Sus scrofa: one gene and its partner. The protein of the gene in region 2 interacts with the protein of the main gene of each other region in a pairwise test. Links are inferred from orthologs where the notes say so. Each region holds a gene or a part of one and is shown on either strand. Other genes may lie near its edges.

Region 1 (5,190 bases), on a different chromosome or scaffold from region 2:
CAGGCCTCCGAGAGGGACCGCTGCTGTTCTCACCTGGTGTTCAAGTCCCCTCCCACCTTGGACAGGGCAGTTCTGTGTACTGATAAGATATTGTGGAAATGACAGGGTGTGACTTTGGCCAGGTCATAAAAGACATTGCAGGCAGCTTCTGCCCTGCCCTTTCATGGGTCATTCACTCTGGGGGAAAATAGCTGCCGCATGAGGACACTCTGTGTCCTTGGGGAGAGGGCCACCTGGTGAGGAACAGAGTCCTGCCAACAGCCAGCATTAATCAACACACCCTACGAGTGAGCCACCTGGGAGTCAGATCCTTCAGCCCCAATTGAGCCTTCAAATGACTGCATTCCCAGCTGACATCTTTCTCTTTTTTTTCTTTCTTTTTCTTTTTTTTTTTTTTGGGAGGGGGGGCTGCACCCAAGGCATGAGGGATCCAACCTGAGCCACAGCAGCAACCAGGTCCTCAATCACTAGGCCACAAGGGAACTCCCCAGCTGATATCCTTTTTTTTTTTTTTTTTTGTATTTTCTAGGGCCGCACCCGCGGCATATGGAGGATCCCAGGCTAGGGGTTGAATCAGAGCTGCAGCTTCTGGCCTACACCACAGCCACAGCAACACCAGATCCGAGCCTCGTCTGCCACCTACACCACAGCTCATGGCAGGATCCTTAATCCACTGAACGAGGCTAGGGATCAAACCTGCGTCCTCATGGATACTAGTTGGGTTTGTTACCTCTGAACCACGACGGAACTCCTAATTTACCTTGCTTTCTTAGAGCAAGTCTCCCCTCAGTATCCATCCCTTTACTGAATGCTTACTATGTGCCACCATGTTCTAGGGGATGTAGATTGTTAACAGGTTCCCTGCCCTCAACGGAGGCAACACACACACAGAGACACACACCCCAAATAAAATCATTAACAGCTGTAAAAAGGCTTTAAAGAAATCTAACTGCTGACCTAGAGAATGTGGGGGGTCGAAGAGGGGAACTTCGTATGTTGGGTTCCCCCATATAGGACTGCGGAGGTGATGTTTAAGCCAAAGGAAGAAAAGAGGTCAGCGATCAAAGAAATGGGGGAAGGCAATTCCCATTGTGGCTCAGTGGTAAGGAACCTGACTAGTATCCATGAGGATGTGGGTTCAGTCCCTGGCCTTTCTCAGTGGGTTAAGGATCTGGAGTGGCTGTGAGCTGTGGTATAGGTTGCAGATGTGACTGAGATCCTATGTTGCTGTGGCTCTGACACAGGCAGCAGCTGCAGCTACTATTCAACCCTTAGCCTGGAAACTTCCACACACGGAGGGTGTGGCCCTAACAAACAAACAAACACATAACACATACTATATGTCCAGCACTGGGCTAAGTACTTTGGAAACTTACGGATGCTTTAAAACAACTCTACTGAGGTGACCCCTTGATCAACCGTCTTTTACAGTTAAAGAAGTTGAGTTAAGAGGTGAAGTTGCTGGCCCAGAGTCACACAGCTAGGAAATAAAGGCACGATTTGCATACAGTTCTGGCTTCCAAATTCATGCGCTTAAGCCACTGTCCCACATAAGTCGCTTAACATATTCTAAACAAAGTACTGGGTGACCATGCTCCCCCAACGTAGTTTCTTATTGATTGATTTTTAATTTATTTGTTTGTTATTAAAATACAATTAATTTACAGTGTTCTGCTAAAACAGCTATTCCCAGTACGTCCTTCTTGCCTTGTTGGGGGGGCGGTGGGAGGGAGAAGGAAGGCTGTCCGAACTACATTTCCTAGAGTGCAACCCTTGCCTTGCTGGCTGTCCAGCATTTCGGGAATTGTAGTCCTGCCAGGAGACATTCACCCACGGCTCCCAGAATGCATTTGGAGACCGAACCTTGCGCGAGGAAAAGGATAGTCGCGTAGCATGCTGGGACGCGGGACAGGCCCATTTCTCTGGCGTGCCGCTCAGACGAACGACCCCATTTCTTCGGACTACAATTCCCAGCCGGCTGTGCGCGAGAGAGGGCGGGCGAGTTCTTCTGCCGGAAGTCCGCTCTAGCCCCGGGTGCCCCAACAGCCGCCAAAGCCCGAGCCTCCCAGAAGCCGTGGGACCGGGGCCTCCCAGAAGCTGGGGTCGGACGGGGGTCGCCATGGTAACGGGGGCGCGCCCATACTGGGGATGGGCAGAGGGTGGGTCCATGTGCAGGTACTCGAGGCGCGGTGGGATACTGACAAGCCCCCCCGGCCGCGGTGCAATGGTCTGGGCCAGGCGGGGGCTCTCGAGATTGGGGCCGACCAAAGGCCGGGGAAGGGGACTGGGCGGCGGTTCTGGACGCCAGAGTGTAACGGGGCTCTCAAGGCTAGGGGGCTTTGGAGACCGGATGACAAGAGGAGGGGTCTGTGCGGGAGGGGACATTGGAGGTGGCTGAAGGGTTTTGAAACTGGCAGGCAACTCACGAAGAAGGATCTCCGAGGTGGGGAGAAGGAATTGGAGGTGGCGAGGGGGCATCCCAAGAAGAGAGCTCTCTGGGAGTGTGACCGGATAGTTGGAGAAGGATGGAAGACCTTCGGCTGGGAGAGACGGGGGTCTCTAGAGGCAGGAAGCTGACACTGCAGACGGAGAGGGGGTGTTGGAACTGGGCGGGATACTGCTGATGAAGGAGACAGAATTTCAAGAGGAAGAGACTGGACACTGGAAACGGGAAGTAGGCAACTGTAGGGAATGGGGCTTTAGAGTTAGGGAAAGCGTGCTAGAAAAGGGAGAAGGCTTGGCGTAGGGAGTGGATACTAGAGATGTGTGGGGAGCAGTGGAAGAGGTCACGGAGGGTAGGTAATAGGCACAGGAGTGCGAGAGATGGGGATGAGGCTTTGGGGGCAAGGACAAGCCACTGGATTTGGTACCCCTCCCCAGAGATGGGGAGACCTGACAGAGGGCATTGAAACCGAGAAAGAGGAAGTCGAAAGGGGACAGCTCTAGGGTAAGGGCTTGGAGACAGTAGGTTGGGGGACATAGAGCGGGGACATCCGAGGGTTGAGGGTGCAGGAGGGAAAGGGCTTCTGAGGGTGGATTCCCTGAAGTGGGGAGACTCTAATTGGGAGGAGAAACAGGAAGAGGTGCATGAGGGAACTGGGGGGGGGGTCAGAGGCAGAGCTCTCCCTCAGCTTTTCAGGCTTGCTTTTATCTCTGCCCTCAGTGTGCCCCATATTTCTCTGGCTCTGCCCCAGGCAGTGGCTGCCTGGTGTGGGTACCCCCACCTCCACCCCGTGCCCTCTCCCTGTCTCCCAGGACCCCTGCCTTGCTAGGAAGTGGTTTTCCCTGGCTCAGCAGACAGTGTTCTTGAAAGGAGACCATAATATCCTGTTCCCATCCAGCTTGATTGGTTGGGGAAGGAGGAATGGTGTGTGGAGAATGAGGCTTAGGGAAGAGAATGGACTCTATGAGAGGGTGGAGGCTGCCACACACACGTCAGGGGAAGTGGGTTCAAAGCAAAGCCCTTGGATTCCCAGCTCTGCTTTCTGGCTGTGAGACGTCCTTTCTCTGAGCCTCAGTTTCTTCATCTATCAAATGGGCACAAGAGTGCCCATCTCAAACAGAACGGGGCCCAAAGGCAGGCTTCCTAGCAGGATGAAACTTGGGCCATGGTCTTCTCAAAGTCAAATGATAATCAATTATAATATTACTAAGAACTAATATTGGGGAGTTCCCTTGTGGCACAGTGGGTTAAGGATCTGGTGTGATTACTGCAGCGGCTTGGGTTGCCTCCATGGCGAGGGTTCAAGTCCTTCGTTCAGGAGCTTCCACAGGCTGTGGTCTTGGCCAAAAAACCAACAACCTAATATTTGTATATCACTTCATGTGCACTCATCACGGTACTATAAGTCTTTTTTTTTGTTGTTGTTGTTGTTGTTGTTGTTGCTATTTCTTGGGCCGCTCCCACGGCATATGGAGGTTCCCAGGCTAGGGGTCCAATCGGAGCTGTAGCTGCCGGTCTACACCAGAGCCACAGCAACGTGGGATCCGAGCCGCGTCTGCAACCTACACCACAGCTCACGGCAACGCCGGATCGTTAACCCACTGAGCAAGGGCAGGGACCGAACCCGCAACCTCATGGTTCCTAGTCGGATTCGTTAACCACTGCGCCACCACGGGAACTCCTAAGTCTTATATTTATTAACTCGTGCAACAGTCTTATGAGGGATGTATTCTCATTATGTCCATTATACAGATGGGGAAATCGAGGTCCAGAGAGGTTCAGTGATTTGCCCACAGACACACAGCCAGCAGTGCCAGGATTCATGCACAGTCTCCAGCCTGAGTTCTTAGCCACTTGATCAAATGCCTCTCTGTCATAATAGCTAATTTTCTCGAGAGCTCCGTAAGCAGTAAGCGTTATACTAAACACTTTTGTCATGAACTTGTTCAGTGTTCATAGTCACCTGAGGAGAGTTGAGCTGACGCTTCAGAATCACAAAAGCACATTTCCTAGCCATCACTGATGATAATTGTAGCTGACACCGAGCATGCCTGCTAGCATCGGCCATTGGATTAAATTGATAAACCTATTTAACCTTCAAAACACCCTGACAAGATGGACCTTCTAAGGAAACTTGTTCCGCCAGTGGGGAAACTGAGGCTTAGAGGGGCAGATCTTTTGTCCCGGGTCCTGGGAACAAGAACTGGCAGAGCCTGGCACTCAGCGCAGCGCACGTCCGCCAGTGGAAGAGAAATCCCTCCACGGGGGTGGGGGGAGTGGGGGGTGGTGGGAGGGACTTGGGACCAGAGCCTTCGGCCAGGCCAGCCTGGCTGGGCTCTGGGGAGTGGCTGAGATGGGTGGACCTGCTCTCCCCTGTGGGGGCGGGTGGGGCTGTTGGGCTGGGCCGCCTGGCACTGGCCCACCCTCCCCATCTCTCTCCCTTCCTCCTCCTCCCTCTGCCCCCAGATCCGCTTCATCCTCATCCAGAACCGGGCAGGCAAGACGCGCCTGGCCAAGTGGTACATGCAGTTTGATGATGACGAGAAACAGAAGCTGATTGAGGAAGTGCACGCCGTGGTCACTGTCCGAGATGCCAAACACACCAACTTTGTGGAGGTGATAGGACCCTCCCCCCTGCCTCCCACACTCCCCTGCTTCCTTTTGACCCTTCCTGCTCAACCTTGTGGGTTTTTTTTTTTTTTTAGGGCTGCACCCACAGCATATGGAAGTTCCCAGGCTAGGGGTGG
Region 2 (4,414 bases):
CTCTGGCGTGCCAAGTTTAGGTACTGCCCAACAAAGGAAAAACATAAGCTGTGGAATTGGAATTCGGAGAGATTTGTGAGCTGATTTGAAAATTACCCAAAGTCCAAGTTATTTCCAGTAATAGAAGTAAGGGCCCTCTTGCATCAGTGCTCTATTACTCAGATAAATGCCTTTTGTACAAAGAGCCTAAAGTATTTTATAAGAACTCTCATGTATCCTCCTGACATGTAAAATCCCAGAATACTGTATAACTGCATACAACTGCTTTAAAGCCTATAGCACATTGGCCACAAGAAAAGATTATGTCAGTGTTTGAATGAACACCCCCAGGCTCTGTGAAACCCTCAGTGTGGGACACTTGTCTCAGCCTCTGAGTCTCCCCAGTCTGCCTCACTGAAGCCTGGTCCTGGGATGGGGCTCCCCCAGGTCTTGGGCCTGCAGAGTTCCTCATGGGTGGGCAGGTTGCTGAGAAAGGGGACTCCAGGAGTTCCCGTCGTGGTGCAGTGGTTAACGAATCCGACTAGGAACCATGAGGTTGCGGGTTCGGTCCCTGCCCTCGCTCAGTGGGTTAACGATCCGGCGTTGCCGTGAGCTGTGGTGTAGGTTGCAGACGCGGCTCGGATCCTGCGTTGCTGTGGCTCTGGCGTAGGCCGGTGGCTACGGCTCCAATTCAGCCCCTAGCCTGGGAACCTCCATATGCCGCGGGAGCAGCCCAAGAAATAGCAGCAGCAACAACAACAACAGACAAAAAGACAAAAAAAAAAAAAAAAAAAAAAAAAAAAAGAAAGGGGACTCCAGGAGTACGTGCACACCTTTCACCCCACTGCCACTGTTGAGGTTGTGGAGCAGGAAGCGCAGAGAGCAGCAGAGACCCTGGGTACTGCCCAGCGCCCCCCTAGCCTTCAAGCACAGGTACCGACCAGGTTAGTACCTCTGTACAAGTAGGCCAAGTGTACTACATGAGGAGATGGTAACAGGAGATGGAAAAAGCTCAGGCCTGGACCTCCCCGATGCTACAGTTGGGCTTCATCCTGATTTAAAGGCAAATCTCCCCAAGTTAAAATGGGAGTGAGGGGCCTGCAAGTGGTTTTCTTTCTGTGGGGTTCTGTCAACAGGTTTCACCCACCAGAGGCGAGGACTAGGAAGTTTGGAGGTTGTTGAGAGATGGGTGAGAATGGAGTCAGGGAAGTGATAGGGAGAGGAAAGTGAGGTGGGAAGAAGCCTTTTTGAGAGAGGAGTTCTTTGACCTCTATACTGTTAGACTCTTGAGTGATGTAGGTTTCACTTTCTACTCTCAGGCGCACTGGTTTTTTGTTTTTCCAATTTTCTTGATCCTAAGGACTCTCCTGGAGTACTTGCTAAAAGTTCAGACTCCTTGGTCTCTGTTTAGACAGAAATTCTAACTCAGTCCAAAGCAGGGTCAATATTCAATACTGGGGTAGTCACTGTCCAGGTGACTCTTGGGGAACCCTACCAAATCAGGGCTGGGTTCTGACATTTTGCTCTAGATTTGTCCTCCTTTGTAAATACAAATAGCGAGAGCATTGGGAACCATAACTGCACGAGTAGAGCTTTATTTCAAAAAAACATGAATGTTCATTTTTACCTGATAATAATACCTTGGTATTTGATTCTTTTTAATTTTAATTGTTTAAAACACTGCAATATTAGTTCATAATGACTGTCAGAACACCAGCTCTGTTAATCTTTGCAAACAGAACCACTGAGCAACCTTTTCTTTGTTGTAATGGCCTTGCCATCTACTTGACCTGGACTGATACTCTGTGATTTAAAATTTACCCAGAATTTGGAGAGTATGGTAAATGATGATAACTATTTTTTATAGTTAGAAATTTTATTATTAACTATTATGTTATTGTCACAGTCATTTTAACAATTTAAAATGTAAATAAAAAATTTCAGTGATTGTATTTTTTTCTTTTCAGAGAAGAACCAAGGCTTTAGCCTTCTTAGCTCATTGGCTGGAGCAAACCATAACATTGGATCAGCAGACACCTGCCATTCAGAGGTAGAGATTTTTTTCCTGGATCTTTTCTTTGCTTTGGCTTTAATTTCTACTCATCATTGTGAATCTTTACACCATTTATCATTTCTTCCCTTTCCATTTAAGAAGTGACTGAGAATATTAGAAATAGATAGAAGGCTAATCTAAAATAGCCCTTTTTATGCCTGCCACCTATTGAGAAAAGGCTATTTAGGCATTAAAGCAGTAAGCCCTTTCAAGATGTTTGCAATTTGTGCTGTTGCATGTGTTTTTGCTAAAGTGCTTTTAAAAATATGCCAGGATTTCCTTGAGGCATAAAGTTGCCTCTAGATCTTTAAATATAAAATAAAATTAATGGTTCTTTTTAAGTACTTCCTGTGTACTCTACAACCTGAAGCAAGGTACCTGCCCTTAATGAGTTTAATAAGCTGATTTCAACCCTCTGTCCTCAAGGACTGTGGTCCAGGACGGCTGTGGTCGGCAGGTAGAAGCCATGAGCACGTTCGGCAGTGCCATGTTGTCTTTCCAGGACCTTCTTCCTCAGTCTCTGAGGTCTTTGTGATAGGATCTTACACATTTTCAGATTTTGAAAAAAAAGCATGATCTTAAAACAAAACAGTATGTTTTAATAGTCAATAGCAAAATCACAACACTTGCTAATTTTTCCTTGAGGAAAAACACTCCTGAGTTAGTGGTCTTTTAGCCTTTCTTAATGTGACCTTGATCCTTGTTTCATCTCTCCTGGTCTCTAGTTCCTATTTCTACTTCTCTAAAGCTAACCAGTGGGTGGAAGTGTGAGCCTTTTTGGATTTAGTTCTGAAGCAGCTTCTTAAATTGTTGCTTGCGTGTGTTTTCCTCAACAGCAGCCCTGTTTGCCAGCAGCAGAGAGGACTGAAGCTCTCTTGGATCATCGAGGTGGCGCATCTAACACAGCAGACGCTCAGGTCGATAGCATTGTGGGTAAGCCCCTCCTCTGGCTGCCAAGTGACAGCTCTGTGGGACTTATAATAGTCCATGTATCGGGGCATAAATCATCTGGGGGGGAACTGACTTTAAACACGGACAAGGGAAGAAAATTGATAGTGCACCCCAAATGAATTGTGAGCCTTGTGGACGGATGTCAGAAAAAGGAGGGAGAAGAGTTCCCATTGTGGTGCAGCGGAAATGAATCCAGCTAGTAACCATGAGGTTGCAGGTTCGATCTCTGGCCTTGCTCAGTGGGTTAAGGATCTGGTGTTTCTGTGAGCTGTGGTGTAGGTCACAGACACGGCTTGGGTCTGGTGTTGCTGTAGCTGTGGTATAGGCCGGCAGCTGTAGCTCCGATTTGACCACTAGTCTGGGAACTTCCATATGCCGAGGTGCAGCCCTGAAAAGCAAAAAAAAGAAAGAAAGAAAGAAAAAAAAGGAGGGAGAGTAAATACATTACAGACCTGTAGGTACCATTTTCTTCTTGATTCTCTTAGCAGGATCTTGATTCAGATCATCTTAGCCAAAACAGACAGAAACAGATGGTGAAATAGCTTTCTATTTCCATATTCCACCGTTTTTGGTTCTTTTTCGTGTTTTTTTGTTTGTTTGTTTTTTGGCCACCCCATTGCATATAGAGTTCCCGGGCCAAGGATTAAATCCCAGCTGGAGCTGCTACGTACGCTCCAGTTGCTGCAACACCATATCCTTAACTCATTATGCCAGGCTGGGGATTAAACCTGTGTCCCCGCTACTACAGGGACACTGTCGATCCTTTTGTGCCACAGGAACTCCCATACAGTTTTTTTAATACTATTTCACAGTAGTCAGAATTGATGGTAACAAGAATAACACCTCTTTATAAGCCCTCTCATATCCTTTTAAAGTTCTTTTATGTCCACATTCTCATTTGGTAATGAATTTTGGCAGAGAAGTTATTTTACAGAGATAAGGGTGAGGCCTGGAACAGTTTCATAACTTGTCCAAGAAGGTCCTGGAACTGAAACTGGAAGCCAGTTTGTTGTCCAAAAGCCAGAAAGCCAAGTAGCTTAGTTGACAGTAACTATAAACACTCTTTTGTTGGGGAACTACTGACATCACTACTTCTCTTTATTCCACAGAGGGTCCATGTGCAGTAGTAAATTTAAAAAAAAATTTTTTTTGTTGTTTATAAGATAATATACCTAGAAAACTCGAGTGATTGGTTATAGAAACATATTAAGAAGAAAAAATTAAACACTATCTCTTTTCTCTCTAGTTTATTCAGCCTTGTCTTCTCAGTTAAACCCTTCATATCAGTTTTTAAACCTGTAAGTAAGGTCTCTGTCATGAAGACAAACCATTGACCACACTGAAGGAGGCAGGGAAGATAAAAAATAAGAAACTTGAGGAAACGGTATTCTGACTGGACACCATGAGGCCAAAAACAAAGAGAACGAAACA

Evidence for each region.
Region 1: the proteins of AAGAB (region 2) and AP2S1 interact in binary tests that used the Homo sapiens proteins (3 or more experiments, as listed by UniProt). The link is inferred for Sus scrofa from reciprocal best matches to the Homo sapiens genes AAGAB and AP2S1.

Annotation. Positions count from the first base shown.
Region 1 is NC_010448.4:52,699,974-52,705,163, reverse strand, and holds the start of AP2S1 (AP-2 complex subunit sigma), read left to right. Parts: upstream 1-1,965; 5' UTR 1,966-2,119; coding exon 2,120-2,122; intron 2,123-4,909; coding exon 4,910-5,059; intron 5,060-5,190. UniProt on the Homo sapiens protein: Component of the adaptor protein complex 2 (AP-2). Adaptor protein complexes function in protein transport via transport vesicles in different membrane traffic pathways.
Region 2 is NC_010443.5:165,136,861-165,141,274, reverse strand, and holds part of AAGAB (alpha- and gamma-adaptin-binding protein p34), read left to right. Parts: intron 1-1,946; coding exon 1,947-2,029; intron 2,030-2,868; coding exon 2,869-2,965; intron 2,966-4,414. UniProt on the Homo sapiens protein: May be involved in endocytic recycling of growth factor receptors such as EGFR.